Linked DNA regions of Macaca mulatta. The protein of the gene in region 3 binds, or shares a complex with, the protein of the main gene of each other region. Links are inferred from orthologs where the notes say so. Each region holds a gene or a part of one and is shown on either strand. Other genes may lie near its edges.

Region 1 (4,316 bases), on a different chromosome or scaffold from region 3:
AAACAACTCATTTTTTAAAAAAAGTATTCAACACCTTTATTTCTGCTGAATGTCCTTTAGACAGATCTAGTGATTTGAATAAAGTGATGGTGGCCTAACAGTCTATTTTCTGGAATTGAGGGAATACTGCTATTGATCCTTTAAAAATATTTACGTAGTCCCTCCTAGAGGCTGGGCGCAGTGGCTCACACATGTAATCCTGGCACTTTGGGAGGCCGAAGCGGACAGATTGCCTGAGCTCAGGAGTTCAAGACCAGCCTGGGTAACACGGTGAAACCCCGTCTCTACTAAAATACAAAAAATTAGCTGGACGTGGTGGTCTGCGCTTATAATCCCAGCTACTTGGGAGGCTGAGGCAGGAGAATCACTTGAACCCAGGAGGCAGAGGCAGAGGATGCAATAAGCCGGGATTGCACCACTGCATTGCAGCCTGGGCGACATGACAGAGCAAGACTCCGTCTCAAAAAAAAAAAAAAAAAAAAAAAAAAAAAAAAAAAATTTGGCCCCTCCTAGAAATGTTAATTCCTCAAATCTGAGCTTCAACTTTCTGTGAAGCAGAATTATCTCCAAACTTTAACAAACAATGGTCATCTGAACTGTTTTTAAGGTCTTTAGAGAGAGATCATTTTCAGTCTTTGTTAATCAGACTTCAGATTATTTAGAAACTTGGCTCTGAATATTGTATTCAGAATGTTTTCACTCATTTGTGAGTAATTTTTAAAATATCCCCTTTCCTCAGATGCAGAATCAGGGTTTTTAATCCAGCATTATGTTGCAAGTCCTGGTTCTGTTGAAACATTCCATACAATCTGTGTGATGGTTATCGGCACCTCCACCGGTGCCCTGAAGACAGTTTTGTGCTGTGAGCCCAGAAACAGGAAACACTTCACGCTGTGGATCAGAAGCATTGTCAGTGGTTGTGTTTTGCCCACTGGCAGGGGGCATTCTTTAAATCCCTGGGATGCTTCTGCACTCTGGGCTCCACTGTTCCAGCAGCGATTAGAAATAATGCTTTACGGCCGGACGCGATGGCTCAAGCCTGTTATCCCAGCACTTTGGGAGGCCGAGTCGGGCGGATCACAAGGTCAGGAGATCGAGACCATCCTGGCGAACACGGTGAAACCCCGTCTCTACTAAAAAGTACAAAAAACTAGCCGGGCGAGGTGGCGGGCACCTGTAGTCCCAGCTACTCGGGAGGCTGAGGCAGGAGAATGGCGTAAACCCGGGAGGCGGAGCTTGCAGTGAGCTGAGATCAGGCCACTGCACTCCAGCCTGGGCGACAGAGCGAGACTCCGTCTCAAAAAAAAAAAAAAAGAAAAAAAAAAGAAATAATGCTTTAGGCTGGGCGCAATGGCTCACCCCTGTAATCCCAGCACTTTGGGAGGCTGAGGTGGGCAGATTACCTGAGGTCAGGAGTTCGACACCAGCCTGACCAACATGGTGTAACCCTGTCTCTACTAAAACTACAAAATTAACTGGGCGTGGTGGCGCCTGCCTGTAATCCCAGCTACTCAGGAGGCTGAGGCAGGAGAATCGCTTGAACCCGGGAGGCCGAGGTCACAGTGAGCCGAGATTGTGTCATTGCACTCCAGCCTGGGCAACAAGAGCAAAACTCCATCTCAAAAAAAAAAAGAAAAAGAAAAGAAATAACACCTTAGCCCACTGCATTATTGACCTTGTCTGCATGAGCCACGGACCACATCGTAAACAGATCCCTCAGATGCTGTCACTTTCCTGCTCTGCCCACACGTAAATTTCAGCCAACAGCAGTGTTTGTGCTCGTTCTCCCCGGCCCTCCCACACATGTAATCCCTTCTGAGCATGCTGGCTTCAAATAATATGACCAGCCACCTCTTCCACCACAAGATCTTCAGGAAATGGCAGGCCACTGGGTTTAGATGCAGAGGGCGTGGGACCACACAAGGCACGGCTGTGGGGACGTGGCACTTGCTCCAGAACGTGGAGCACTGAGTGAAGGTTTCAGTCTCCTGCACTGAGAGAAACAAGGGCATTCTGAGGCTTTTCCACTTTATCCCTAAAGAGTTTAACAATGCTTGTTTGCTGATTTCTACATAGATGCCAACTTTATGAGTTGTATGTGTTTACATGCCAGATTGATTCATTGAGCAGCGTTAAATAATGGTGTTCACCTCTAAAGCGCATATACTGGTAAAATTAAGAATTATTGTAATTAAGCCTCTTGCAGTAGTTGTTAAGAGTTCAGAGAATATTTAAGAATATTAAAGGTGCTTTGCTAATATCCTTGTTAGTTTTGTGGACAAAATCAGTACTTCAGTTTCTTGTTTCTTTTTTTTTTTTGAGATGGAGTCTTGCTCTGTCACCCAGACTGGAGTGCAGTGGCACGATCTCGGCTCACTGCAACCTCCGCCTCCCGGGTTCAAACGATTCTCCTGCCTCAGCCTCCCAAGTTACTGGGGTTACAGGCACACACCATGCCTGGCTAATTTTGTTTTGTTTTGTTTTTGAGACGGAGTCTTGCTCTGTCACCCAGGCTGGAGTGCAGTGGCGCCATCTCGGCTCACTGCAAGCTCCGCCTCCTGGATTCATGCCATTCTCCTGCCTCAGCCTCCCAAGTAGCTGGAACTACAGGCACCCGCCACCACACTCGGCTAATTTTTTGTATTTTTAGTAGAGACGGGGTTTCATCATGTTAGGCAGGATGTTCTCCATCTCCTGACCTCGTGATCCGCCCGCCTTGGCCTCCCAAAGTGCTGGGATTATAGGCGTGAGCCACCGCGCCCGGCCACATTTTTCTGTGTTTTTAGTAGAGACGGGGTTTCACCATGTTGGCCAGGCTGGTCTCAAACTCTTGACCTCAGGTAATCCACCCACCTCAGCCTCCCAAAGTGCTGGGATTACAGGCATGAGCCACCATGCCCAGCCCAGTACTTCAGTTTCTTAGCAATGAAATCCACCCAATGTCAGGCGATGATGATTATTATTTTACTGATTTATACTGTTCGTTCTCTATTAATGTCTTATTTTCCCCAGCCGATTTTGAAGTTGAGTGAGGACTGTGTTCTGCGGGTTTCTTGAGTCCTCTGAGGCACCGAACTTGGTGATGTGGACGCAGGAGCTGCTCGTTAGGAGCTGCTCGTTAGTGAACTGATGGCTGGGAGCGTGGCGCATCCCACATCACCTGACTTACCTTGGTGTCCTCCTTTGTAGCCTTTTGTCATACACGATATGGAGACACTGTGTATGGCTGAGAAGACACTGGTGGCCAAGCTGGTGGCCAATGGCATCCAGAACAAGGAGGCGGAGGTCCGCATCTTTCACTGCTGCCAGTGCACATCGGTGGAGACCGTCACGGAGCTCACGGAATTCGCCAAGGCCATCCCAGGCTTCGCAAACTTGGACCTGAACGATCAAGTGACACTGCTAAAATACGGAGTTTACGAGGCCATATTTGCCATGCTGTCTTCGGTGATGAACAAAGACGGGATGCTGGTAGCATATGGAAATGGGTTTATAACTCGTGAATTCCTAAAAAGCCTAAGGAAACCGTTTTGTGATATCATGGAACCCAAGTTTGATTTTGCCATGAAGTTCAATGCACTGGAACTGGATGACAGCGATATCTCCCTTTTCGTGGCTGCTATCATTTGCTGTGGAGGTGAGTGGTTGATTTAATCTGCTGGTATCATGTCACTGACAGGCTCCTGTCTTGAAAATTTTGACAACGGGAAATGCAGTACCAGCTTGAGCTGTCCCAGTGGAGGGGACACTCCCAGGGTGGGAAGACATCTGACCTCCAGTCATTGCTGAGTAGAATTCAGTGGGAATTATATCAATATTGTATCATATTATAGTATATATTGTTATTATCTATAAAGACATATTTAATAATATGTAAATGTATGACACTTTAATTATAATATTAGCCAGGTGTGGTGGTGCACACCTTTAGTCCCAGCTACTCAGTAGACTGAGGCCAAAAGATGCCTTGAGTCCAGGAGTTCAAGGTTGCAATGAGTTATGAATGCATCACTGCATTCTAGCCTGGGCAACAGAACAAGACCCTATGTCTTTAAAAAAAACTTATATATTTTGCACAAATATATATATAGAGAAAAGAGGTCGGACATGGGCCTGTAATCTCAGCACTTTGGGAGGCCAAGGTGGGTGGATTACTTGAGCCCAGGAGTTTGAGACCAGCCTGGGCAACATGGCAAGACCCCGTCTCTACAAAAAAAAAAAATACAAAAAATTAGTCTTGTATGGTGGCATGTACCTGTAGTCCCAGCTGCCTGGGAGGCTGAGGTGGGAGGATTACTTGAGCCCAGGAGACAAGG
Region 2 (5,090 bases), about 670 kb from region 3:
TAGAAGCTTTGGCAACATATATTTGGCAGCTGTTTTGTATACACACTATTCCCCAGTGGTGTCCCTTGGGCAGGCACAAAGGGAGCCTAAGGGAGGGGTGTGGATTGAATGTATGGGGAGGAAGAAAAGCCATAGGCAGTACCAACCGCAGAGGGACATGATCTGACCCTCCTTCAGCCACACTCTCCCCTTTGGAACAGAAGTCCTTGACTCCCTGTCTAGACCGTGCTCCAGACACCCAGGGTGCTGTAATTCTCTGCCCAAATGGCCAGTTTTACTTCCAGAGCCTTAAATGGGCTGCTCTTCCAGATTTATCCCCCCAAGGACTGATTTTGCCACTCAAAGGGTGAGCAAAGAATGGTTGTCGAAGGCTGGGCACGGTGGCTCATGCCTATAATCCCAGCACTCTGGAAGGCTGAGGTGGGTGGATCACCTGAGGTCAGGATTTTGAGACCAGCCTGACCAACATGGTGAAACCCCATCTCTACTAAAAATACAAAAATTAGCCTGACGTGGTGGTACACGCCTGTAATTCCAGCTACTTGGGAGGCTGAGGCAGAAGAATCGCTTGAACCTGGGAGGCAGAGGTTGCGGTGAGCTGAGATTGCAGTGAGCTCAAAAAAAAAAAAAAAAAAAAAAGGAAAAAAAAAGAATCGTTTTTGGGGAATACGGATTGAGCTTGAACTTGTGAACTAGGATATTGGGCCCTGGCTAAAGGCCTCCATGTTTATTTATTTATTTTTTTGGTAGAGCTGAGAGTCTCATTATGTTGCCCAGGCTGGATTTGAACTCCTGAGCTCAAGTGATCCTCCTGCCTCAGCCTCTCGAGTAATTTACTCTTATTCCTGGTTGTAAATGTTAGGGATGACCAGTCCATAGTATGGGGAGGGATGAGGGCTATGCATAAGAAGGCTCAGACATTGGAGCCAGAGGTGGGTAACATTTGCTTTTGGCTTTCTCACTAGGGGAAGGAAAGGCTATGGCCAAGGCCCTGGGCATAATAATTGGATATTATTATTTATGGATCTTTGGGATAAGCAAGATTTAAACAACAACAACAACAACAACAAGAAACTTAAGAAAATAGTTTTTAATTTACAGGAAAAAAATGGAAGGTAATAGAGGGTCCCCACATATTCTGCACCCAATTTCTCTTTTAATTAACATCTTAGCATTAGTATGATGCATTTGTAACAACTAATGAACTAATACTGATACATTATTATTAATTAAAGTCCATGCTTTATTTAGATTTCCTTAGTTTTTACCCAGTATTCTTTTTCTCTTCCATGATTGCATTCAGAAAATCACATTACATTTAGTCATCAGGTTTCCTTAGCCCTCTTAGCTGTGACAGTTTCTCAGAATTCCTTTGATTTTGATCACCTTCACCTTAGTTTCTCCTTTACTTTCCCTTGTATCCAAGCTGTTTGGAGGGCTTGGAGATGCTGATAGGACTGTCAGATTCGGGGGTGGTGATATGTGTGCAAGTAAGGCACCTTAGTGTCGCTTTTAGAATATAGGTGTGGAAATGAGAATAGCTCTGGAAGCCCCAGGAGTTTAGGAGAAAAGAAAGAGCCCAGGAAAAGAGAAAGGCCGTATTGCTGAACGCCACACCCTTGCCGCACCTATTAACTAGGGGCTAACGAAAGAAAGGGTGTCGGAATATGATGGAGAAGGCCGGTCGACAGTGACGTCGTGGGCGACGCCGGGTTGTGAGCGACCTTTCGAGCTTCCTCGAGTCCCTGAGTCTCTGTAGTGTCTCAGCTCCTGGATGTCCTCCCTTAAAGGAGAGGAACAATGCGCGCCGACTAGACTAGTCTCTTAGTTTCTTCGCCAGCGCAGACAAATACGGTTTCAGTCCAAAAAACTACCATTCCCAGAAGACAGCGGGACGTTCCTTGCTGCATCTCTATTGGTTTGCGTTTGTTACTCCCAGCCAATAGAAAGTGAACTTCTTGACAAGTGCCAAAATGGCGATGCCTACGACCTAGAAGTGGATTGTGCGGTAGGCTTAAATTTGGGGAGGTGGTGGATGAAAAGGAAATTGGGAGGTATAGTTACAGGGCTGGAGAAGGTGGAGGAAATGAGGGAGCAAATCTGGACTTGGAGTAGTGGTGACCGAAGGACGCATTTAGAGCTAAGGGCGTAATTAGGCAACGAGGACTGGCTTAACTCCTTGATGCCCTCTTTACTCTATTAGTCCCTTTGATATTTATTTATTTGAGAGACAAAGTTTTGTCCTTGTTGCCCAGGCTGGAGTGCAATGGCGCGATCTCGGCCCACCCCATCAACCTCCGCCTCCCGGGTTCAAGCGATTCTCCTGCTTCAGCCTCCCGAGTAGCTGGGATTACAGGCATGCGCCACCAAGCCCGGCTAATTTCGTATTTTTAGTAGAGACGAGGTTTCTCCATGTTGGTCAGACTGATCTCAAACTCCCGACCTCAGGTGATCCGCCCGCCTTGGCCTCCCAAAGTGCTGGGATTACAGGTGCGAGCCACTGCGCTCGGCCTATACTTTCTTCTTAGTGCCCCAGTTTAAGGAAGGGCGGTTCAGGAGGAGAAAGCCTGACAGGATCTTACCTTATCTCTTTAGCTCTTTTTCTTTCAAATTCCGCTGCCTAGCTTAAATCTTACCGCATCTTCTTTTTTTTTGTTTGTTTGTTTTTTGTTTTGAGGCGGAGTCTCGCTCTGCCGCCCAGGCTGGGGTGCAGTGGCCGGATCTCAGCTCACTGCAAGCTCCACCTCCCGGGTTTACGCCATTCTCCTGCCTCAGCCTCCCGAGTAGCTGGGACTACAGGCGCCCGCCACCGCGCCCGGCTAAGTTTTGTATTTTTAGTAGAGACGGGGTTTCACCGTGTTAGTCAGGATGGTCTCGATCTCCTGATCTCGTGATCCGCCCATCTCGGCCTCCCAAAGTGCTGGGATTACAGGCTTGAGCCACCGCGCCCGGCCACCGCATCTTCTTTCTATTTAATTCTGCCTTCCCCGGTTCTCCTTCGAACATCGTGTCCTTTTCTTTTTTTTTTTTTTTTTTTTTTTTTTTTTTGAGACAGAGTCTCGCTCTGTCGCCCAGGCTGGAGTGCTGTGGCCGGATCTCAGCTCACTGCAAGCTCCGCCTCCCGGGTTCCCGCCATTTTCCTGCCTCAGCCTCCCGAGTAGCTGGGACTACAGGCGCCCGCCACCTCGCCCGGCTAGTTTTTTGTATTTTTTAGTAGAGACGGGGTTTCACCGTGTTAGCCAGGATGGTCTCGATCTCCTGACCTCGTGATCCGCCCGTCTCGGCCTCCCAAAGTGCTGGGATTACAGGCTTGAGCCACCACGCCCGGCCGTGTCCTTTTCTTTAGATCCACTTCTTTCACCTCAAAGTTGGCCGTCACAGCTGCCACCTGCTCAGAGTGAAATCATGAAGGTAGTCAACCTGAAGCAAGCCATTTTGCAAGCCTGGAAGGAACGTTGGAGTGACTACCAGTGGGCAATCAACATGAAGAAATTCTTTCCTAAAGGAGCCACCTGGGACATTCTCAACCTGGCAGGTCTCAAGTGAACTGGGAAAGAAAGATGGGAGGGATAAACCCAGAGAAGTTGTAATCACTCAATCGTGTTTTGTTATTCCTCTTGCAGATGCATTACTAGAGCAGGCCATGATTGGACCATCCCCCAATCCTCTCATCTTGTCCTACCTGAAGTATGCCATTAGTTCCCAGGTAAGCTCCCCCAAAACCCCCACCAAGAAGTGAGAGTTTTGGGGATAAAAAACTTGAAGTGCATTTGGACCCCAGTGATTCATGACTGTAATCCCAGCATTGTGGGAGGCTGAAGCAGGCAGATTGCTTGAGCCCAGGAGTTTGAGACCAGCCTGGGTAACATGGCAAAACCCAGTCTCTACCCCAAAATACAAAGAATTAGCCCTTCGTGGTGGTGCCCCTGTAGTCCCAGCTACTTGGAAGGCTGAGGTGGGAGGATCACCTAAGCCCTGGGAGGTCAAGGCTACAGTGAGCCATGATCCTGCCACTGCACTCCAGCCAGAGCAACAGAGTGAGACCCTGTCTCAGGAAACAAACAAAACAAAATTTGGGGTGCAGTTTTACAATTGTCAGCTTACGCTTTCTAGATGAATTTGTTTGAACAGATCATTTCACTGAGTTTCAGTGTTCTCATAAAAATAATAATACTTCATTTGTTGTGATGAATATTATATTCACTTATTCTACTGGGAGTAGTAGCAGGTAGCACAGGCCTGTGGCCCCGCCTACTCAGAAAGCGGAGGTGGGAGGATTGCTTGAGCCCAGAAGTTCGAGGCTACAGTGAGCACTGATTGTGCCACTGCACTCCAGCCTGGGCAACAGAACAAGACTCCATCTCTTAAAAACAACAACCACCAAAAGAGAAATAGGATTACATTCACTTGTTCTATCAACAAATACTCATGAATTTTTTTTTTTTTTTTTTTTTGAGACGGAGTCTTGCTCTGTCGCCCAGGCTGGAGTGTAGTGGCCGGATCTCAGCTCACTGCAAGCTCCGCCTCCCGGGTTCCCGCCATTCTCTTGCCTCAGCCTCCCGGGTAGCTGGGACTACAGGCGCCCGCCACCTCGCCCGGCTAGTTTTTTGTCTTTTTTGGTAGAGACGGGGTTTCACCATGTTAGCCAGGATGGTCTTGATCTCCTGACCTCGTGATCTGCCCATCTCGGCCTCCCAAAGTGCTGGGATTACAGGCTTGAGCCACTGCGCCCGGCCTTTTTTTTTTTTTTTTTTGAGATGGAGTCTCGCTCTGTCACCCGGACTGGAGTGCAGTGGTGCGATCTTGGCTCACTGCAAGCTCCGCCTCCTGGGTTCTCCTGCCTCAGACTCCCGAGTAGCTGGGACTACAGGCGCCTGCCACCACGCCCGGCTGATTTTTTGTATTTTTTTTTTTTTAGTAGAGACAGGGTTTCACCGTGTTAGCCAGGATGGTCTCGATCTCCTGACCTCATGATCTGCCCACCTCAGCCTTCCAAAGTGCTGGGATTACAGGTGTGAGCTACCGCGCCCGGCCTCATGAATGCTTTTATGTGCCAGACAGTGCTAGCCCCTGGGGACATAGCTGTGAAT
Region 3 (3,338 bases):
GGGGAGGACTTCAGCAAGGTGTCTCAGAACCCAATTCTTACCAGTTTGTTGCAAATCACAGGGAACGGGGGGTCTACCATTGGCTCGAGTCCGACCCCTCCTCATCACACGCCGCCACCTGTCTCTTCGATGGCCGGCAACACCAAGAACCACCCGATGCTCATGAACCTTCTTAAAGATAATCCTGCCCAGGATTTCTCAACCCTTTATGGAAGCAGCCCTTTAGAAAGGCAGAACTCCTCTTCCGGCTCACCCCGGATGGAAATATGCTCGGGGAGCAACAAGACCAAGAAAAAGAAGTCATCAAGATTACCACCCGAGAAACCAAAGCACCAGACTGAAGATGACTTTCAGAGGGAGCTATTTTCAATGGATGTTGACTCACAGAACCCTATCTTTGATGTCAACATGACAGCTGACACACTGGATACACCACACATCACTCCAGCTCCAAGCCAGTGTAGCACTCCCCCAACAACTTACCCACAACCAGTACCTCACCCCCAACCCAGTATTCAAAGGATGGTCCGACTATCCAGTTCAGACAGCATTGGCCCAGATGTAACTGACATCCTTTCAGACATTGCAGAAGAAGCTTCTAAACTTCCCAGCACTAGTGATGATTGCCCAGCTATTGGCACCCCTCTTCGAGATTCTTCAAGCTCTGGGCATTCTCAGAGTACCCTCTTTGACTCTGATGTCTTTCAAACTAACAATAATGAAAATCCATACACTGATCCAGCTGATCTTATTGCAGATGCTGCTGGAAGCCCCAGTAGTGACTCTCCTACCAATCATTTTTTTCATGATGGAGTAGATTTCAATCCTGATTTATTGAACAGCCAGAGCCAAAGTGGTTTTGGAGAAGAATATTTTGATGAAAGCAGCCAAAGTGGGGATAATGATGATTTCAAAGGATTTGCATCTCAGGCACTAAATACTTTGGGGGTGCCAATGCTTGGAGGTGATAATGGGGAGACCAAGTTTAAGGCCAATAACCAAGCTGACACAGTTGATTTCAGTATTATATCAGTAGCCGGCAAAGCTTTAGGTCCTGCAGATCTTATGGAGCATCACAGTGGTAGTCAGGGACCTTTAATGACCACTGGGGACTTAGGGAAAGAAAAGACTCAAAAGAGGGTAAAGGAAGGCAATGGCACCAGTAATAGTACTCTCGCGGGGCCAGGATTAGACAGCAAACCAGGGAAACGCAGTCGGACCCCTTCTAATGATGGGAAAAGCAAAGATAAGCCTCCAAAGAGGAAGAAAGCAGACACTGAGGGAAAGTCTCCATCTCATAGTTCTTCTAACCGACCTTTTACCCCACCTACCAGTACAGGTGGATCTAAATCTCCAGGCAGTTCAGGAAGATCTCAGACTCCCCCAGGTGTTGCCACACCACCCATTCCCAAAATCACTATTCAGATTCCTAAGGGAACAGTGATGGTGGGCAAGCCTTCCTCTCACAGTCAGTATACCAGCAGTGGTTCTGTGTCTTCCTCAGGCAGCAAAAGCCACCATAGCCATTCTTCCTCTTCTTCCTCATCTTCTGCTTCCACCTCAGGGAAGATGAAAAGCAGTAAATCAGAAGGCTCATCAAGTTCCAAGTTAAGCAGCAGTATGTATGCTAGCCAGGGGTCTTCTGGATCTAGCCAGTCCAAAAATTCATCCCAGTCTGGGGGGAAGCCAGGCTCCTCTCCCATTACCAAGCATGGACTGAGCAGTGGCTCTAGCAGCACCAAGATGAAACCTCAAGGAAAGCCATCATCACTTATGAATCCTTCTTTAAGTAAACCAAACATATCCCCTTCTCATTCAAGGCCACCTGGAGGCTCTGACAAGCTTGCCTCTCCAATGAAGCCTGTTCCTGGAACTCCTCCATCCTCTAAAGCCAAGTCCCCTATCAGTTCAGGTTCTGGTGGTTCTCATATGTCTGGAACTAGTTCAAGCTCTGGCATGAAGTCATCTTCAGGGTTAGGATCCTCAGGCTCGTTGTCCCAGAAAACTCCCCCATCATCTAATTCTTGTACAGCATCTTCCTCCTCCTTTTCCTCAAGTGGCTCTTCCATGTCATCCTCTCAAAACCAGCATGGGAGTTCCAAAGGAAAATCTCCCAGCAGAAATAAGAAGCCGTCCTTGACAGCTGTCATAGATAAACTGAAGCATGGGGTTGTCACCAGTGGCCCTGGGGGTGAAGACCCACTGGACGGCCAGATGGGGGTGAGCACAAATTCTTCCAGCCATCCTATGTCCTCTAAACATAACATGTCAGGAGGAGAGTTTCAGGGCAAGCGTGAGAAAAGTGATAAAGACAAATCAAAGGTTTCCACCTCTGGGAGTTCAGTGGATTCTTCTAAGAAGACCTCAGAGTCAAAAAATGTGGGGAGCACAGGTGTGGCAAAAATTATCATCAGTAAGCATGATGGAGGCTCCCCCAGCATTAAAGCCAAAGTGACTTTGCAGAAACCTGGGGAAAGTAGTGGAGAAGGGCTTAGGCCTCAGATGGCTTCTTCTAAAAACTATGGCTCTCCACTCATCAGTGGTTCCACTCCAAAGCATGAGCGTGGCTCTCCTAGCCATAGTAAGTCACCAGCATATACCCCCCAGAATCTGGACAGTGAAAGTGAGTCAGGCTCCTCCATAGCAGAGAAATCTTATCAGAATAGTCCCAGCTCAGATGATGGTATCCGACCACTTCCTGAATACAGCACAGAGAAACATAAGAAGCACAAAAAGGAAAAGAAGAAAGTAAAAGACAAAGATAGGGACCGAGACCGGGACAAAGACCGAGACAAGAAAAAATCTCATAGCATCAAGCCAGAGAGTTGGTCCAAATCACCCATCTCTTCAGACCAGTCCTTGTCTATGACAAGTAACACAATCTTATCTGCAGATAGACCCTCAAGGCTCAGCCCAGACTTTATGATTGGGGAGGAAGATGATGATCTTATGGATGTGGCCCTGATTGGGAATTAGGAACCTTATTTCCTAAAAGAAACAGGGCCAGAGAAAAGAAACTATTGATAAGTTTATAGGCAAACCACCATAAGGGGTGAGTCAGACAGGTCTGATTTGGTTAAGAATCCTAAATGGCATGGCTTTGACATCGAGCTGGGTGAATTAGAAAGGCATATCCAGACCCTATTAAAGAAACCACAGTGTTTGATTCTGGTTACCAAGAAGTCTTTGTTCCTGTGCCAGAAAGAAAAAGTTAAAATACTTGCTTAAGAAAGGGAGGGGGGTGGGAGGGGTGTAGGGAGAGGGAAGGGGGGGAAACAGTTTTGTGGGAAATATTCATATATATTTTCTTCTCCCTTTTTCCATTTTTAGGCCATGTT
Region 4 (4,316 bases), on a different chromosome or scaffold from region 3:
GCAAGTTAAGAGTATTACCCAAGAACTATGCCTTATTTCATGGGTAAATACATCTTTCAAGAGAATCTCCTTTTGAAATTGTTCCATTTCATACAGAAAGAAGAAAAGCTTTCCTTTACAAAGCCATGATAACACTTACAGAAAAATCTAGTAAAGGGAACACTAAAAACAGTCTCACTTTTGAATACTGATGCAAACATTGTAAATGAATTATTACCAAATACAGTCTAACATTACATTGAAAGTATAAAACGTGACAGTGGATTTTATTATAGAAATATAGTCAATGAAGCAGTAAAGGTATTAAAAAACTAATGCAATTCAACATTTATCCTTGACTAAAGCTCTTACTAAAACAGAAACAGGATGCTTCCTTAACATGAAAAACATATCAAAGCATCAGCAGTGGTAAAACATTGGGATAATTAGGGTGCCTATTTAAGATTTTACCAGTATACTAGTGAATACAATTGATACAAAGGAGATATAGAAAGAATGACAAAACAATGACAAAATTATCAATACGTGGAAATAAAATTAATGAGAAAACTCAGTTAATTGAGAAGTTATTAGAAATAATAAAGGTTTAATAAGGTGACCAGTTATAAAATACAAAAATAAAAGCTTTTTAAAAATGGATAGAGAAGTATAATTTACATTAGCAACAGAAAATATAAAATACAGAGGGAAAAATATAAAGAAATATACAGAACCTGTAGGAAGAAAACTTTAAAAGTCCATAGTGGCACATACAGATTTTAATAAAGTTTGAATTCTTGGTAAGATGTCATTTCTCCCTATATTGATCTTTAAATGTAATGCAATCACAAAATTTGAATGGATATTCTTTTTTAGGACTTGACATAATGCTTCTTAAGTTTGGGTCTTAGAATAATAATTGTGATAAAATGTCAGAAATTTTCAGGAGAATAGTAGCAAGGAAGTATTTTTCATACCAGATATTCATTACTTAATTTTCTGTGTTTTAAAATAGCACAGCATATGAACAAGAAAAAAAATAGGAAATTATAAAGAAGATCCAAGTATAGTGATAGAATTATAAATCAGAAGATAACTTAGCGCATTTGGATAAGCATTTGACAAAATATTTAGCTGGATCCCAACTTTATACTTTGTACCAAAATAAATTCCAGATGGATCATAAATTGAAGGAAAAAAGCCCTTAAGGGTATTAGAAAATATGGGTGAATTGTTTATCATTTTGAATCAGGAAAGACCTTGCTATGCCTGACAAACATGAAAGTAAAAGATAGATTTAAGTAAGTGATTCAGATTTCTGTATTACAAATAATTAAATACTGAGAGATATTTAAACTTGGGAGAAATTTTGCACTTATTTGTCAAACAAGTGATTTATTATTCATACTGTACAAATTTTAGATGAGAAGAATCTCTTAATCATTAAAAAAATCGGTAATACCATTAGAAAAATGGTCATATTAGAATTAACATTGTACAAAAGAAGAACTGTATATGACCAATAAAGACATAGAAAGATGTTTAACCTCAAAAGTAAACTACAGGGAAAAGAAACAGTGACGTACTACTTTGCCTTTAAGTTGCAAAATATTTAAAAGTGGCAGTAACCCATAGGATTAATTTTTTTTTTTTTTTTTTTTTTTTTGAGACAGAGTCTCTGTCCACCAGGCTGGAGTGCAGTGGTATGATCTCAACTCACTGTAGCTTCCACCTCCCGGGTTCAAGCAATTCTCCTGTCTCAGCCTCCCAAGTAGCTGGGACTACAGGCACACGCCACCACGTCCAGCTAATTTTTGTAATGTTAGTAGAGACAGAGTTTCACCATATCGGTCAGGCTGGTCTCAAACTCCTGACCTCAGGTGATCGGCCCACCTCGGCCTCCCAGAGTGCTGGAATCCCAGAGTGCTGGAATTATGAGCCACCATGCCCGGCCAGGATTAAATATTGTACAATTCACTCATGAACTGTTAATACAAATGGAAATTGGTATAATGTTTTTGGAGGGTAAACTGACAATGTGTATCAATAAATTACCAGCAACACTAATCCTACTTCTGGGAAGTTATTTCAAATATATTATTAATCAAATATGCAAGGAGAATTACAAAGATATTCATTAAGAAGCATATCATTCAGGAAATAGTAGCAAGGCAGTATTTTTTTATACCAGCTATTAATTACTTAATTTTCTGTGTTTTAAAATAGCACAGCATATGAACAAGAAAAAATAGGAAATTATAAAGAAGATCCAAGTATAATGATAGAATTATAAATCAGGAAATACCTCAGCGCATTTGGATAAGCATTTGACAAAATTTTAGCTGGATCCCTACTTTGTACCAAAATAAATTCCAGATGGATCATAAATTGAAGGAAAAAAGCCCTTAAGGGTATTAGAAAATATGGGTGAAAAATGATAACCTATATTTGCATCAGTAGAGATTGGCTAAATAATGATCCATCCATAAAGCTGTATGAAAGACTGCTGAACAACAAGTTAATTGACATAAGACTTGGAATACATATTGAATGACAAACACAGCTTCAAGATCGTTTTTTCTTTGAGTCATGTCAATTTCATATCTCTGGTTAAAAATAGCACACTTGACTAGGCAAGAGGAGGAGGCTATCAGTGTAACACATTCTGAGGCAGTTTTTAATATAATTAGATTTGTGAAGTAAGGAAATTAAATGCCATAGTTACCCATGAACAGCTGAAAAACTATATACTTCCTCAAATCTAAGCGACCATCAATTGGTGCCAAATAATTCCACCGTTATCTTATATCACTAAGAAAGAATAAACATGCTGCCAATTATAACACGAAGGCATCACAGATTGTAAGACATATCTTGATATCAGAGTCAGAATCAGTGAAATACAAGCTGGTAACAGACTAAGGAGGAAGAAGGAAAAGATTAGAGCAGAATTTTTTTCAGGACATATTTACATTTATTAGTGAGATAATTATTAGTCACATTTCAAGAAATGTGAGAAATAATTGTCTTTAAGGTTATGTTTTGCTCTTTGTACTTCTCAGAATATGAACAATGTGTTCAATCTTAGAGTGTTTTCCCTGACCTTGCTTGTTGATTTTCTGTAACATGTCTTTTCTAGTTTGCAATGGATTTTGGATAAACAAGATCTGTTGAAGGAGCGCCAAAAGGATTTAAAGTTTCTCTCAGAGGAAGAATATTGGAAGTTACAAATATTTTTTACAAATGGTAAACTTTTTAAAAAGTTGTTTGAGATTGTATAGTTGGTTACCTCTGAATTAAAATGTTTTTGTGTGGTAATTTGTAAACTGTTTTAGTGCATACCTAACATTTTTATTTATACAGGTGTTCTTTTTACAACGTATTCATTTCTGTTTCTTTTTAGTGATCCAAATAAAGTTTTTTGTGTGAATTTTACATATTACAGGCACTTAAGACAATTTAGAAGTGTTACCTAATCTCCCTAAGGCTTTGTAATAATTATTAGACCCAGTTCACGGTTGGCTAAAGCAAAGTACTTTGAGGATAAATGATTCTTTGGATTGGCATCCTGTAGTGGTCATGTCTCTTAGAACTTTGAAGGGAAGAAGATTAGGGATATATCTTTACTCTGACATGTAGTAGGTTTGTCACATAATTTTTTTAACTTTCAGTTCACTATTTTGTAAACTTATCTCTCTGGTTTTTTTTTTTTTTTTTTTTTGAGGATTCATTATGAATTTTTTTTTTTTTTTTGGTGAGCCGTATAAAGCTAAGTGTGGTAATCTTAGCACTTTGGGAGGCAGAGGTGGGTGGATCACTTGAGGCCAGGAGTTAGATGAGCCTGGCCAACATGGTGAAATCCCCTCTCTACTAAAAATACAAAAATTAGCTGGACGTGGTACACAAGAATCACTTGAACCTGGGAGGTGGAGATTGTAGTGAGCCCAGATCGCACTACTGCATTCCAGCCTGGGCGACAGAATGAGACTCTGTCTCAAAACAACAAAAAAGTGGTAGTATTAACAAGTTTCATAGGTGTCTAATATTTTCTTTTTATATTTATTTTAAAGCTAATATGAAAAGCATTTAAAATATTTAGAAGATAGAGGGGAAATACTTATTCAACTTCCTTAATGGATGGATAATTTTTTGCTGTGGGGCAATTTCTGTTTTGTTATTGTTTTGTTGTTGTTTATGCATACCTATATATTTTCTTAACACATTTGCAAATCCTAGTGTTAGACCACTGTGACTCACATAGAGCATGTGTAGGTTTTTCCCTTTGTTAAAAATGAACATAATTATGATTTAATCAATTGGAAGTTACTGTTCAATGT
Region 5 (4,316 bases), on a different chromosome or scaffold from region 3:
TTTGCCTCAAGTAATGCTGTATTTGTTAAGGTCCATTTTGGTGTTCTGAGCAGTTTAATGCTAATTTCTATATGTACATATATTTTTTAAAAACTATTCAAAGTTGCCTAATCATGTCTAATTTACTCCACATTTTGAAAACTTAGCAGCATGACTTGGTGTTAGCTGCTTAGTTTTAACCCATATTCTGAAGAGAATCTTAGAAGCTTGTAAACCTAGGAGTATAATGTCCCGTGATGACTGTGGAATATATAGCTTCTCATTTTTCAGGGCAGGCATATGGAATCAGTCTGAAAGGAGACTATCACAAGTGATTGATTTTCTCTTTTCAAACAGGCCTCTTCAGTAGAATTTATAAGTTGCTCCGTGTGCATTTCCATGTTTGCAGAATACATAAGCATGAGTGTGGAGATAGTATTTTGTGTATTGTAATCAGAGTATTGCAGCTTGAAAGCATAATTTTTTTACAAGTGACCATTCTAGATTTCTGGTTTAGTCGACACTGCAGAATATCACTAAAGTCACCTCTTTGCATGTATTCTTTCAGCACCTTATTTAGCCACTCTGCAGCTTGATAGCAGCCTGTTGATACCACCTAAATACCAGACCCCACCAGCAGCGGCACAGGGACAGGCTACGCCTGGGAATGCTGGGCCCTTAGCTCCAAATGGATCAGCAGCTCCCCCAGCTGGCAGTGCATTTAACCCCACCTCGAATAGTAGTACTACAAATCCTGCAGCAAGTAGTTCCGCATCTGGTTCCTCTGTGCCACCGGTCTCATCGTCTGCCTCTGCTCCTGGTATTAGCCAGATAAGCACTACCTCTTCTTCAGGATTCAGTGGTAGTGTTGGAGGGCAGAACCCCAGCACTGGGGGCATTTCTACGGATAGAACTCAAGGGAGCATAGGCTGTGGCGGAGACACTGACCCTGGGCAGAGCTCTTCTCAGCCCTCACAGGATGGACAAGAGAGGTATGTTACTCACTAATTGAGACGAGTGGCCTCAGCTCAGACCCTTTCTCTCTTCTTCCGCACCTTTTCTCCCTTGACCTCATGATTCTCTGAATCCTATGAAGTGCTCTATTTCTCTTCTTCTCAAAAGAAAGGGGTAATGGTCAATCTAAAGCTGCAGTGTTAAAATTTTGAGACTTCTTATAAATTATTATGACTTATAAACCTTATTATTAAACTTACAATCAACTTAATAACAACTTTGTACAACATAACCACAGAAAAGAAAGGGGAGTTTGAAAAAGATATCTCCCATTTTAGAGGAGTACATTGCCATTTTCCATCTGCTTTCAATGCTCTCTGGCTTGGTTTGCCTGTATTTTGGTAAGGTGATACATGTTACTCTTACATTTAATCTGTAAATATTCTTTAGGGAGCCTGTGTGCTCTAGTATTGAGCACTTTTGTTTTTCATACTCATGTAATTTATGTTTATTTTGTGTGTCTCACAAGTGACTCTCTTGCCAGTGTTACAGAAAGGGAGAGAATAGGAATTCCCACGGAGCCTGACTCTGCAGACAGCCATGCCCACCCTCCAGCCGTTGTCATTTACATGGTAGACCCATTCACTTATGCTGCGGAGGAGGACTCCACTTCTGGGAACTTTTGGCTGTTGAGCTTGATGCGCTGCTACACAGAAATGCTGGATAATTTACCTGAGCATATGAGAAGTTCTTTCATTCTCCAGGTTACTGTTTGCAAGTTTATTATTTACTTTTGATGTTGATGTTTTTGTTGTTGTGAAAATAAATACAGGCTTATGGTTTTTCTTAAAAAATAGAAGTACAGGTTAATTATCCTCTAACCAAAATACTAGGGACCAGAGTGTTTTGGATTTCTGATTTTGGAATGTTTGCATATATGTAATGGGAGACCTTGGCAGTGGACCCAAGTCTAAACATAAAATTTGTGTTTTATATACACCTTATACACTTAACCTGAAGGTAATTTTATACAATTTTTTTAATAATTTTGTGCTTTATACAAAGTTTTGATTAAATTTGACTGCAGCACATCACATGAGGTCTGATACGGAATTTTCCACTTGTGGCGTTTTATTGACATTCCAAAAATTGTGAGTTTTGGCGCATTTTGGATTTCAGATTTTTTGATTAGGGATATTCAACCTGTACCCGAAAGTATAAAAGAAAAAATAATCATAATTCTGACTTTTACATTCAACCACCATTACCATTTTGGTGTTTTTCTAGCTTGTTTTTCTATTTTTGTTTACACAGTTGAGATCATACTTTTAATATAACTTAGTTTCTATCTAATGTTATTCATGAATACATTTTCATGTTATTTAAATTCTTACAAGCATTTTTAATGACTGCATATTTTCCATAGCCATTCCTATATCTCCACTTCTTTACTGTTATAAATAAAGCCATAGTACACATTTATGTATAATCTTATTTTTCACATTTCAGGTCATTTTTTAACATGGGTTCTTAGATGTAGATGCGACACATATTGCCAAATTCCATTCCAAAAGAGATTACACTTACTTTCCTTTCATCAGTGAATGAGTATGCTTATTTTCACTGCCCCTTTGACAGCTTTATAGTGTAATGATTTTTTTAAAAATTCTATATAGATGAAAAACAGTGCTTCGGATGTTTGGGTTTCATTTTAATGTCACTTTAACTGAAGCTATCTTGTAAAATTAAAAGATTGAAATTAAAGTTATCAGAGTACATTGCTGATAGTTTTCCATTGTTTTGAAGTCTGTATCCTAAATGATTAGGTAATAATTCCAAAAAATGCCACACACACTGTGTAATTATAAAAAGGAGAAATATAATACAATTTGGGGGCCATGGTAATACCTGTAATAAATTGAGATCTTACCTCTAAAATGGGAACATGGTAGTTTCTAAGTGACAGTATAACTTGACCCATATAATCGTACATCTTTCGAAATTGCTGGTGATAGAGAATTTTATGTCAGTGGAAGGAATTAGGATTTAATTATATTATGTGTGACACTGATATATTTTAGGGCTGAGGTTACCTCTCCCCATTGTGGTAAGGAATTCATGCCGTTTCCTTTTTCAGCTTGCTTGTTAGCGTGTTAGATCTCAGTTTCTAGGTTTTTGGTTTTGTTTTGTTTTTTGTATTTGTGTCTTTAGATTGTGCCTTGCCAGTACATGCTGCAGACAATGAAGGATGAGCAAGTTTTCTACATTCAATACTTGAAGTCCATGGCATTTTCAGTGTACTGCCAGTGCAGGCGACCATTGCCTACACAGATCCACATTAAATCCCTCACGGGATTTGGGCCTGCAGCCAGCATTGAGATGACCCTCAAGAACCCTGAGGTGGGTATTGGCAGGACAGGAACTTAGAAAATTTATACTAAAATGCAAGCTAGGAGAGGTATTTTATCTAACCTAGAGATTGGCTGGTTGCTTAGTTGGCCTTCTACCTTGATATAAGAGTTGCTAGGCTGGATGTGGTGGCTCACGCCTGTAGTCTTAGCACTTTGGGAGGCTGAGGTGGGAGGATTACTTAAGCCTAGGAGTTTGAGACCACCCTGGGCAACATAGCAAGACCCCGTCTCCACAAATTTTTTTAAAAAAAATTAGCCAGGTGTCAGTGATGATGTGTGCCAGTAGTCCTGGCTGTTTGGGAGGCTGAGACGGAAGGATCACTTGAGCCCAGGCGTTTGAGATGGCAGTGAGCTGTGATCACACAACCACTTCCGCCTGGAGAGTAAGACCCTGTCTCAAGCAGGGAATGAAAAAGAGTTGGCAGATTTCTTTAACTCTTAGATTTAAATAGAGGAGATATTTCTCTGAACTTTTAAGAATTTTTGAGAAAAGAGGCAAGCAAATTCTTACTGTTTTTTTAATGTAGGACTTTAGGCAATAATATATGTATCACTTTTAGTTCTTAATGTTTGAATTTTCTAAATTTATTTTCTTTATTTTTCTAAGCTACTCTGTGTCTTAGATCAGAAATCCTTTGCATTTTCTGGCTCTGGTCTGTATCCTGAGACAGCAGTTGTAGTTGTGTTTACTCTGCAGGGGGCCCTCATTTTCTGATGCACATACTTACAGGGAGTTGATTTCTCCTTTCCTTGCCTCAGTGCTTCGGTATGTAAATGAATGCATTTTCGCTCCATCTTTTTAAACCTACTTCCTACAGATATGTGTGGATTTCAAAGGGAATTTTACAGCACCAAAGCTAAACATGTTTTAAACAAAAGTTTTACATTTCCTTTGTTTTTCTAATCACCTTATCTTGAAGATAGGTATACAGGGCAATGTTCAGAATTTTCAAAGCCTTCAAAAATCAGTTC
Region 6 (3,692 bases), about 56 Mb from region 3:
CAGGCCTGTTGTCCTGCTGGGGTGCTGTATGTAGTATGGGCTTTAGTCCAGGCCTGTTGTCCTGCTGGGGTGCTGTATGTAGTACAGGATCCAATCTAGGCTGTTGTCCTGCTGGGGTGCTGTATGTAGTATGGGCTTTAGTCTAGGCCTGTTGTCCTGCTGGGGTGCTGTATGTAGTATGGGCTTTAGTCTAGGCCTGTTGTCCTGCTGGGGTGCTGTATGTAGTACAGGATCCAGTCTAGGCCTGTATGTTGCATTTTGCTGTCACATCTTAGTCTCCTTTCATCTCAGTGGTCTTTTCTTTTCCATGACTGTGACAGAAATGATTTTGTATCCTTCATGTATCTGCAGTCACATGAAGTCTATTTGTCCCACTACTGGTGACATTAATTTTGATAACTTGGTTGAGGGTGGTACCTTCTAGGTTTCTCCATATTAAGTTACTATTTTTCCTTATGTATTTAATAAGTATCTTATGGGGAAATCCTTTGAGACTATGTAAATATCATATTACATGCCCATTTTAGCATCTTTTGAAGATATTTGTTTGAAACATTTTTTACTGTGGTGATTTTCGAATTCTGTCATTCTGCATTTATTAGTTTGGAATTCGATTGTAAGGCAGTACATTCCCTTGTTTTCTATTTATTATTTTATTAAAGAAATTTACATCCATTTAGTATTTTATCCTGTGAATTAGAATTATGTATTTTCTTGCTCTGAGTATTCTAGATTTGGCCATTGGGAGTCCCTTCAAGTTGGTTCCTGAATACTTTTGATCGTCCCAATAATTTTTAGCACTTTTTCTTCTGGCACTACGTAATGTTCCAGGCTCATCTTGTACTTTCCCTCTCTTATCCCTGAATCACCCTTTTCTCCAAGGAAACCTGCTCCTTGGATACCACAATCTGGACATTGTGTGTTCATTAGTACCACAGTGTCATTGCTTCTAGGCCCTCTCAGTACACAAAGCTCAAGAACTCTATGTTTGTATGTGTATCCATGCACACATGTATACATCTGTTTATCCTGTCTACCTATATTAAAAGCCCTAAGTACATACTAATGTTTTCAATACCAGCTCAGTAACACAGGATTCATTCTAGCCTTTTTCCTTTCCTTGTCGAAATTTGGCTGTCCTTATCCACAGTATATTTACTTGTCCAATCCTAGAGTATATCTAATTTCAGAGTTGGTATATCCCTGTGGACAAGAAGAGTATAATGTATGTGCATAGTTCTCTTTCAAACCAACTCACTTTTAAATGAAAGTTGTCTTTTTATCACTATTGATGGAAAAACAAAGAACTATCAATTAAACACAGAATTAGTAAAATATGTTCATGTTCTTCACGTTGGAAACCACTAGAAGGGAATAGCATGGTTTGTCCCTACATTTTCACTCTGCTTACCAGTTACTGTGTTGTGTGGTCCTGAGCAAGTTTAAATTTAATCTTTCTGAACTTAAACCTTCTCACTTTCGAAAATATTGCTGAACACTGACCTTTGATGACCAATCAGGGAAAACACCCTATGCTGCCAGTGTGTACTAAGTTAAAGAAATGGTAGGCTACAAGATCATTTTTAAGAGAATAACTTAATTAGACCTTGGCATTATTTACTTAAATTATGTTGTTCATTTACTTATAAACTTAAACCCAGGTACCCTCAGTGTTTACACATGTTAGAGCTGCTCCAATACGAACACTTCCGAAAGGAGCTGGTGAATGCTCAGTGTGCGAAATTCATTGATGAACAGCAGATTCTACATTGGCAGCACTATTCCCGGAAGCGGATGCGCCTTCAGCAAGCCTTGGCAGAGCAGCAACAGCAAAATAACACATCGGGAAAATGAAAAACCGGATACAGATGAGGCTCTCAATACATGTATATAATGTATTTCTTTTGTACAGTGAAGACAAAAAATGAAAACTCTTCCTATCTACCTTTATTATGGTAGCCCCTAGAACCTTTAGTGTGCTTTTTAATCCAACTTTTTATTGTTAATAGACTATTTCTTTTAAACCTGAATTGGTCTACTTTGATTTCCCTGTGGATTTGTAAGGTGTTTTCTTTTGTATGCATTTAGCATAATCAGCTGATTAAGAATGGAAAAGTTAGGTGCTTTAGACCAAATGAGGCACTGGGGCATGGGGTAGGGGTGGGCCACCAAGTATACTGAATTCTAAGGCTAGCTCTTCCTGACATATAGTAGCGCAAGGCCATCTCCTGGAACCTTACTGTCTCTCAGATCAACTACTCTACCACTCTTATCTATGTAGTGAGAGTAGCGGAGTCAGTGACCTCTTTAAATCACAGGATAGGAACTGCATAAAGGTTCTCAAATTCTGCAGGACAGGAAATCCCTGTATTACCTGCTTTGCAAGGTGGCTTTAAGAATCACTGTGGCCTCATTTGACCTAGTCATGGCAGGACAACTAGTGGTTAATTACTAATTGGACTCTTGACTTTAGAACAAACATGAGGAGCCTCAAATACTTGTGCTCATTTGGGAAAACTAACATTGATTTGGGAGGTACCACATACCAGGTGCTATGTTAAGTGCTTCCTTGAATTCTCATTTTATTCTCAGAACCTTGTTTACAGAAGAGAAAACTGAGGTTTGGATGGGGCGGGTAACTTGCCTGTGGTTACACAGCTAGTAAGTGGTAGAATCAGTGTGACTGACTCCAGCTTGGAGTTCTTCCCACCACTGGGTTACACAGTCTCTCCAGCCCCTCGCCGCCACCTGCCTAATCCCAAGTAAAGCACGTTGAGAGAAGCCACAAAACGAACTGCCTCTAGTGCTCAGGGTCGGTTTTTTCATGAACAAAACAAAACTGCCTGAATTAAGCAGAGGCTGGATTAGAGGTAATATGCTTCCCTCAGTGGTGAGGTTAGGTTCTACGTTCCAAAATCAAAGAAGGGGTTTCAGGACTATCAGTTGCTTTGCAGATGCAGAGAATTTAAAATAAAAGATCCTGATCTTTTGAAAGATTTGGAAGGTGTGCTCTGCGCCTTTAGGAGTTTTTAGGTATTTCCGTCACCTTCAATGATACATTCCTTTGAGCCTTTACTGCTACTTCTGAAGACTTGTTTATATCTTAAAAATATCCATATATTACAGGCAAACTAAAGGTTCATGGGCATTTTAATAGCACCCTACTGTTTAGACACATGCCAGTTTTTTAACCTCATTTATTGCTAACATGTATTCAAAGCAATATACAGTTTATTGATACTAGAACAAATCAGGAAATCAAGACATGATTGCCATCATAAAATCTTAATCTTCAGAGAACAACATTTCCACCAGGTTGGCCTGAAGACACTCAGATTCTACCAGTTTTTGAGGCTGTAAGAGAAGAACAGTCAAATCTTCACTACTCCTATAAAACGTTATTAGGAGTGGAATAGGTTCTGCCTTGAATGACACTAATCTTTGAACACAGAAATTATGCAATTCAGAAACTATCAACTAGTTATAACAAGTTTTATGAAAGAATCAAGATATTTGCTGTAAGATGAATCACTAACATACTTGGCTGAAGAGACTTAAACCCCAAATACCATGAAGCTCCACAGACTAAAACAGGAAACAGCAAGCCCAGTGCCCTCTTCTTCCCCTCAACTCTTTAATTTAGGATCCCAGGGGCATGACTGAACTAGAAGAGGTGCCCTTACTTTTTAACC
Region 7 (4,316 bases), on a different chromosome or scaffold from region 3:
CTAATATTGGTCTCGGTGTTTGTGTGAAATTTGAAAATCTCCCCATACCCACTATAGGTAAGGGCAAATACTTGAGGTACATGTCATAGCAAGAGAATCTGACCAGCACCTATATCAGGAAACAGCTACAAGATTAGTCTTGCTTTTATGTATAGATTTTTACAAAAAATTTTTCAAGGCTGATCTTCAGTTGAATATGTTATAAAGTTATTAATATAATGAAAGCATATCAAGTTTCATAAATGTAAAAATGTTTCAGAATTTCTCAAGTGCTTGGAACTTGAGCATGAGCTGACTGAGATATTCATCTGTGGGCTGCCAGGAATGATTGAGCTGATCTGGCTGGCATGCCCCTTAATATCTCTTCCAAAGTTGTGATGACTCAAAGAAGATACCATTCTTAGATAGTATTGTATTGTATTGTAGTCAAGGGTGCTAGGAATAGCCTAACTTCCCACCTAGAACTTCTGAAAAAGACTGTCACATCTCTTCATAGGATATGGCAGGGGAGTCAGACTTGATATTTCATTTGGTTTTCATTTTATGAGATACCCCTTAACCACCTTTTCAAAGTGATATCTGTAATGAAGACATTGTTGTGTTTATACAGACAGATAATAAGTAGAAACCTGGTTCACAGACTTGTGAGTTATTTCTTCGGTCTCTGAAACTTAGCCTAATATGGTGGCTGTATATGTAGTGCATACTTAACAGATACCCATTAATTGTTTATTTAAAATTATTTTTCTTCTGAAACACTACCTCAACTTCTATGTGTATTCCCACTATACGTTTCACACAGAAACTCGAATACGTATAGGAACAAAGATAGCATTAATAAATAATTGCATAAAATTGAACTTTTAAAAAAATACAAATTAACATTATGGAAGTAATTTTCGTTTTTTCTTTTTAATGGAACATGAATTTTTAGGTTCCTGCAGCAGAGTCTGAGAAATAAAAGTTTACAGATGAATGACTATAAGATTGCTCTATTGTGTAATGCATACTCTACAAATTCAGAATGTTTTACATTACCCATGGGAGCTCTGGTAGAAACTATTTATGGAAATGGAATTATGAGGATACCTCTCCCTGGAACAAACTGTATGGCTTCAGGATCTATTACCCCCTTACCCATGAACCTCCTGGATTCACTGACAGTTCATGCCAAAATGAGGTATGTTCTTTTTATTAATTTGATTCCATGTCAGGGAATTGATACGAGTATAGTATAAACCTTTATTTCATGGTTTTATGTGTGTAATTTTTCATAGTCAGGTACATTTAGGGAAAAAAATAGCTTTATTTTATTACAAAAGTAAATATTTTTTATTATAGGAATTCTAGGATAAACAAACCCAAAGAAAGTAATTGTCATAATCTCTCCATGAGAGATAAGCATTATAAAAATTTTTTGCACTTTTTTTTTTTTCGTTTTTTGTAGATAGTAAGAAGGAGGACTAGTGTAGCTAGAGCTTCCAACGTTTTTGAGAAGGGCTAGAAATCCAGATTTTTTATTACTAGTCTTTCAGCCTTTAAGTATTGGCTCAAATTTAAAACAACCACCGTATAGGCCTAAGAGAATTTGTCTGTGGGCCTCCAAGTGGAGCATCAGTTCTGGTAGAGCTATGCTCTTTTTCAAGTGGTAACCATTGTGATAGAATTACACATGTGCTTCACTTGCATGTATAACAGATTTGAGCAAAGCCTCATTAGAACCTAACATTTGGGTCTTAGCTATGATGTGTTAAAGTAAATCTGTGACAGAAGTTATTTAATTTCCCAAATGTATTTTGATGCATCATTGGAGTAACCAAAATCTCTCAAGCTTGCTCTTATAAGTTGAACCCAAAGTTTGTTTTCCCATGAGCAGGGGGATCCGTGTGCATATTGAAAGCACCATGGAAATCGGAATGAGTCTCAGGTTGTGCAGTGCATCCTTACCAAGTGTCCTGCACAATTTAGACACATTAAATGAATCAACTTCATTTGAATCATTTAAGTTCAAATTATACTAAGTTACTTCTAAGTAGAGTAGCGCCTATGTTTATGTCAAAAATATGGATTTTTATTTTCTTCCCTTTTTTTCTCCTCAGCCTTATTCACAGCATTGCAACCAGGGTGATAAAACTTGCTCATGCAAAGTCCAGTGTGGCCTTGGCTCCAGCCCTAGTGGAAACTTACAGTCGTTTATTGGTCTATATGGAAATAGAGTCTTTGGGCATCAAAGGATTTATCAGTAAGACAGGACTTTCTGGTGTTTATAACTATTAATCCATTCATTAACTCTAAAGGTACTTTTCTAGTTCCGGGGACACAGCAGAGAACAAGTCACCACCATGATGGAGCTTATGGAGGGGGACGTTAAATAAATGAAATATATAATATGTCAGGTGATACATGTTATAGAGAAAAATAAAGCAAAAAGGAATAGGAAGTTTGAGGGTGGGAGGGGGGGTTTGTTGCATTTTTAGGTAAAGTGGTAAGAAAAGGTTAATGTGCTAGGTGCCTGGGATGTGGTGAGCAGGATAGACATGGTCCCTGTCCTCATGCAAATGGATTCTGCCTGAGGCAGTAATGCTGTCCTCCAGTGCATACAAAAGGCTGACTGGCAGTAAAGAAGGAATTCTCTTAGATTGCAGAAAATACATTATAATGTCTGTTATTTATTATGTAGTTCTAAAATAATAGATACTTTCTAATATAGAAGTGTTTTTCTGATTCATCATAATTCCAGCTTTTCATGAATACAGCATAGTTTTAATTTTAACCATAGTAAGTCTTCCTAGATAACTGATTGTTGAATAAAACTTTCTCGGGGGTAGGAGGAAACAAGGGCAGGTGTAAAAATACAGTTTTTTGTATTAAAAAGTGAACCTCATACTTCAAAAGGTATGGAACATTAACTGTCTAAAAATAAAAGATACCAGAATTGAGAAGATTAATGCTTTTTCGTATCTTGTCTCATTTTGTTTTTCCAGATAAACATGATTATCACTTGCCAAGTCCCAGGAAAAAATAATTGATATTATAGTTAGGATCTGAATTTTTCCTTACTGTTAAAGTAGAAAATAAGAAAATGTGGAGAATATATATGTGTGTGCGTGTGTATTTTCGCAATCAAATCTTTATTTGATTCACTCAATGTGACTTTCTTCAACTATCTTTTAATGCATAGCCTTTACTAATTGGTACCTTAAATTGTCTTTTTCCTCCAGGTCAGCTTTTGCCAACTGTTTTCAAATCACATGCATGGGGGATCTTACATACACTCCTTGAGATGTTTAGCTACCGGATGCATCATATTCAGCCTCATTACCGAGTTCAGCTCCTGAGTCATCTTCATACTTTGGCTGCAGTTGCACAAACAAACCAGAACCAGCTCCATCTTTGGTGAGCTCATTGAAGGCCATCTTTCCTTAAGATTTACTAGAAACTTTCTTGGAGATGAGGTTCTTAATCCTTTGCCTTATAGGTTTTTTTTTTTTTTTTTTAATTCATCTGTCATAAAACTTCTCTGCTTCTAAAGTATTTTGTTTCCATTATAGGAGCAGAGTCCAGCTTTTTAAATAGAAACTGATTAAGATAGTTGAGTTCTTGCTTCAGGATCTTTGGACTGAGAATTAGTACTTTCAGGGTATTTATTATTATGTTGTAACTTAGCCCTTTAGAATGCTGTTTTTAAGTATACTTCAGATTATGGTTAAAGTATCATGTCACATTGATTTTGCTTTAAATTAAAATATATTTTAGATAGAAAAATATAATTTTTGAAATGCAGTATCTCCAGGTGAAATTTTTTAGTCCTATAGGCGACAAGTCATCTTTTTCAAATGTGTAAAAATGTCAAGATTTTCACTATAAAATTGGACACATTAGGTTTTTTAAACAAATTAAGCAACATTTATTCTCACACACAAGTGTTTTTTTAATTAAAGAAGGGATAGTCATATAGATTGCATGTTTTTCCAGTGTAATTAACCTTAGAATTAGATTTAATTCTATAATTCTGAAATTTTTTTACATTTCTTTTTTTTCTCCCACTTTTCAGTGTCGAGAGCACTGCTCTCAGGCTTATAACAGCATTAGGTAGCTCAGAGGTACAACCGCAGTTTACACGCTTCCTTAGTGATCCCAAAACAGTGCTCTCAGCAGAATCTGAAGAACTGAACCGAGCCTTGATATTGACCTTGGCTAGAGCAACTCATGTTACAGGTACGGTGACTATGTGACTACAAACAAACAAAAACAGATGAATTAAAGTGTGCCGTGATTCTACTAATTACTATGGGTATAACATACTAAAAAGATAC

The links.
Region 1: the proteins of MED1 (region 3) and PPARA are in contact, whole or in part, in a crystal structure (PDB 9IWM), measured with the Homo sapiens proteins. The link is inferred for Macaca mulatta from reciprocal best matches to the Homo sapiens genes MED1 and PPARA. Residues at the interface, in NP_004765.2 of Homo sapiens: Asn638, Thr639, Asn641, His642, Pro643, Met644, Leu645, Met646, Leu648, Leu649, Lys650; in NP_001001928.1 of Homo sapiens: Val284, Thr285, Thr288, Glu289, Lys292, Phe297, Leu302, Asn303, Gln305, Val306, Thr307, Leu309, Lys310, Pro458, Leu459, Glu462, Ile463.
Region 2: the proteins of MED1 (region 3) and MED24 are in contact, whole or in part, in a cryo-EM structure (PDB 8T9D), measured with the Homo sapiens proteins. The link is inferred for Macaca mulatta from reciprocal best matches to the Homo sapiens genes MED1 and MED24. Residues at the interface, in NP_004765.2 of Homo sapiens: Phe375, Asn377, Gly436, Leu437, Gln439, Glu441, Ser453, Asn459, Asp460, Ser461, Leu462, Val463, Cys464, Tyr480, Lys481, Gly482, Asp485; in NP_055630.2 of Homo sapiens: Lys7, Ile10, Trp14, Lys15, Arg17, Leu47, Ala50, Met51, Ile52, Gly53, Pro54.
Region 4: MED1 (region 3) and CCNC share a complex: the UniProt entries of both Homo sapiens proteins name them as parts of the mediator complex. The link is inferred for Macaca mulatta from reciprocal best matches to the Homo sapiens genes MED1 and CCNC.
Region 5: MED1 (region 3) and MED13L share a complex: the UniProt entries of both Homo sapiens proteins name them as parts of the mediator complex. The link is inferred for Macaca mulatta from reciprocal best matches to the Homo sapiens genes MED1 and MED13L.
Region 6: MED1 (region 3) and MED31 share a complex: the UniProt entries of both Homo sapiens proteins name them as parts of the mediator complex. The link is inferred for Macaca mulatta from reciprocal best matches to the Homo sapiens genes MED1 and MED31.
Region 7: MED1 (region 3) and MED23 share a complex: the UniProt entries of both Homo sapiens proteins name them as parts of the mediator complex. The link is inferred for Macaca mulatta from reciprocal best matches to the Homo sapiens genes MED1 and MED23.

The regions. Positions count from the first base shown.
Region 1 is NC_133415.1:5,248,320-5,252,635, reverse strand, and holds part of PPARA (peroxisome proliferator-activated receptor alpha), read left to right. Parts: intron 1-3,189; coding exon 3,190-3,637; intron 3,638-4,316. UniProt on the Homo sapiens protein: Ligand-activated transcription factor. Key regulator of lipid metabolism. Activated by the endogenous ligand 1-palmitoyl-2-oleoyl-sn-glycerol-3-phosphocholine (16:0/18:1-GPC). Activated by oleylethanolamide, a naturally occurring lipid that regulates satiety.
Region 2 is NC_133421.1:64,410,234-64,415,323, reverse strand, and holds the start of MED24 (mediator of RNA polymerase II transcription subunit 24), read left to right. Parts: upstream 1-1,960; 5' UTR 1,961-2,008; intron 2,009-2,255; exon of another isoform or gene 2,256-2,448; intron 2,449-2,595; exon of another isoform or gene 2,596-3,346; 5' UTR 3,347-3,405; coding exon 3,406-3,535; intron 3,536-3,623; coding exon 3,624-3,706; intron 3,707-5,090. UniProt on the Homo sapiens protein: Component of the Mediator complex, a coactivator involved in the regulated transcription of nearly all RNA polymerase II-dependent genes.
Region 3 is NC_133421.1:63,743,451-63,746,788, reverse strand, and holds part of MED1 (mediator of RNA polymerase II transcription subunit 1), read left to right. Parts: coding exon 1-2,976; 3' UTR 2,977-3,338. UniProt on the Homo sapiens protein: Component of the Mediator complex, a coactivator involved in the regulated transcription of nearly all RNA polymerase II-dependent genes.
Region 4 is NC_133409.1:86,300,496-86,304,811, forward strand, and holds part of CCNC (cyclin-C), read left to right. Parts: intron 1-3,118; coding exon 3,119-3,225; intron 3,226-4,316. UniProt on the Homo sapiens protein: Component of the Mediator complex, a coactivator involved in regulated gene transcription of nearly all RNA polymerase II-dependent genes.
Region 5 is NC_133416.1:123,231,656-123,235,971, reverse strand, and holds part of MED13L (mediator of RNA polymerase II transcription subunit 13-like), read left to right. Parts: intron 1-547; coding exon 548-971; intron 972-1,477; coding exon 1,478-1,697; intron 1,698-3,144; coding exon 3,145-3,333; intron 3,334-4,316. UniProt on the Homo sapiens protein: Component of the Mediator complex, a coactivator involved in the regulated transcription of nearly all RNA polymerase II-dependent genes.
Region 6 is NC_133421.1:8,125,247-8,128,938, reverse strand, and holds the end of MED31 (mediator of RNA polymerase II transcription subunit 31), read left to right. Parts: exon of another isoform or gene 1-5; intron 6-25; exon of another isoform or gene 26-1,661; coding exon 1,662-1,854; 3' UTR 1,855-2,565; downstream 2,566-3,692. Other genes in the region: TXNDC17 (thioredoxin domain-containing protein 17), read right to left, coding at 3,286-3,354. UniProt on the Homo sapiens protein: Component of the Mediator complex, a coactivator involved in the regulated transcription of nearly all RNA polymerase II-dependent genes.
Region 7 is NC_133409.1:36,639,448-36,643,763, reverse strand, and holds part of MED23 (mediator of RNA polymerase II transcription subunit 23), read left to right. Parts: intron 1-934; coding exon 935-1,180; intron 1,181-2,099; coding exon 2,100-2,242; intron 2,243-3,221; coding exon 3,222-3,396; intron 3,397-4,054; coding exon 4,055-4,218; intron 4,219-4,316. UniProt on the Homo sapiens protein: Required for transcriptional activation subsequent to the assembly of the pre-initiation complex. Component of the Mediator complex, a coactivator involved in the regulated transcription of nearly all RNA polymerase II-dependent genes.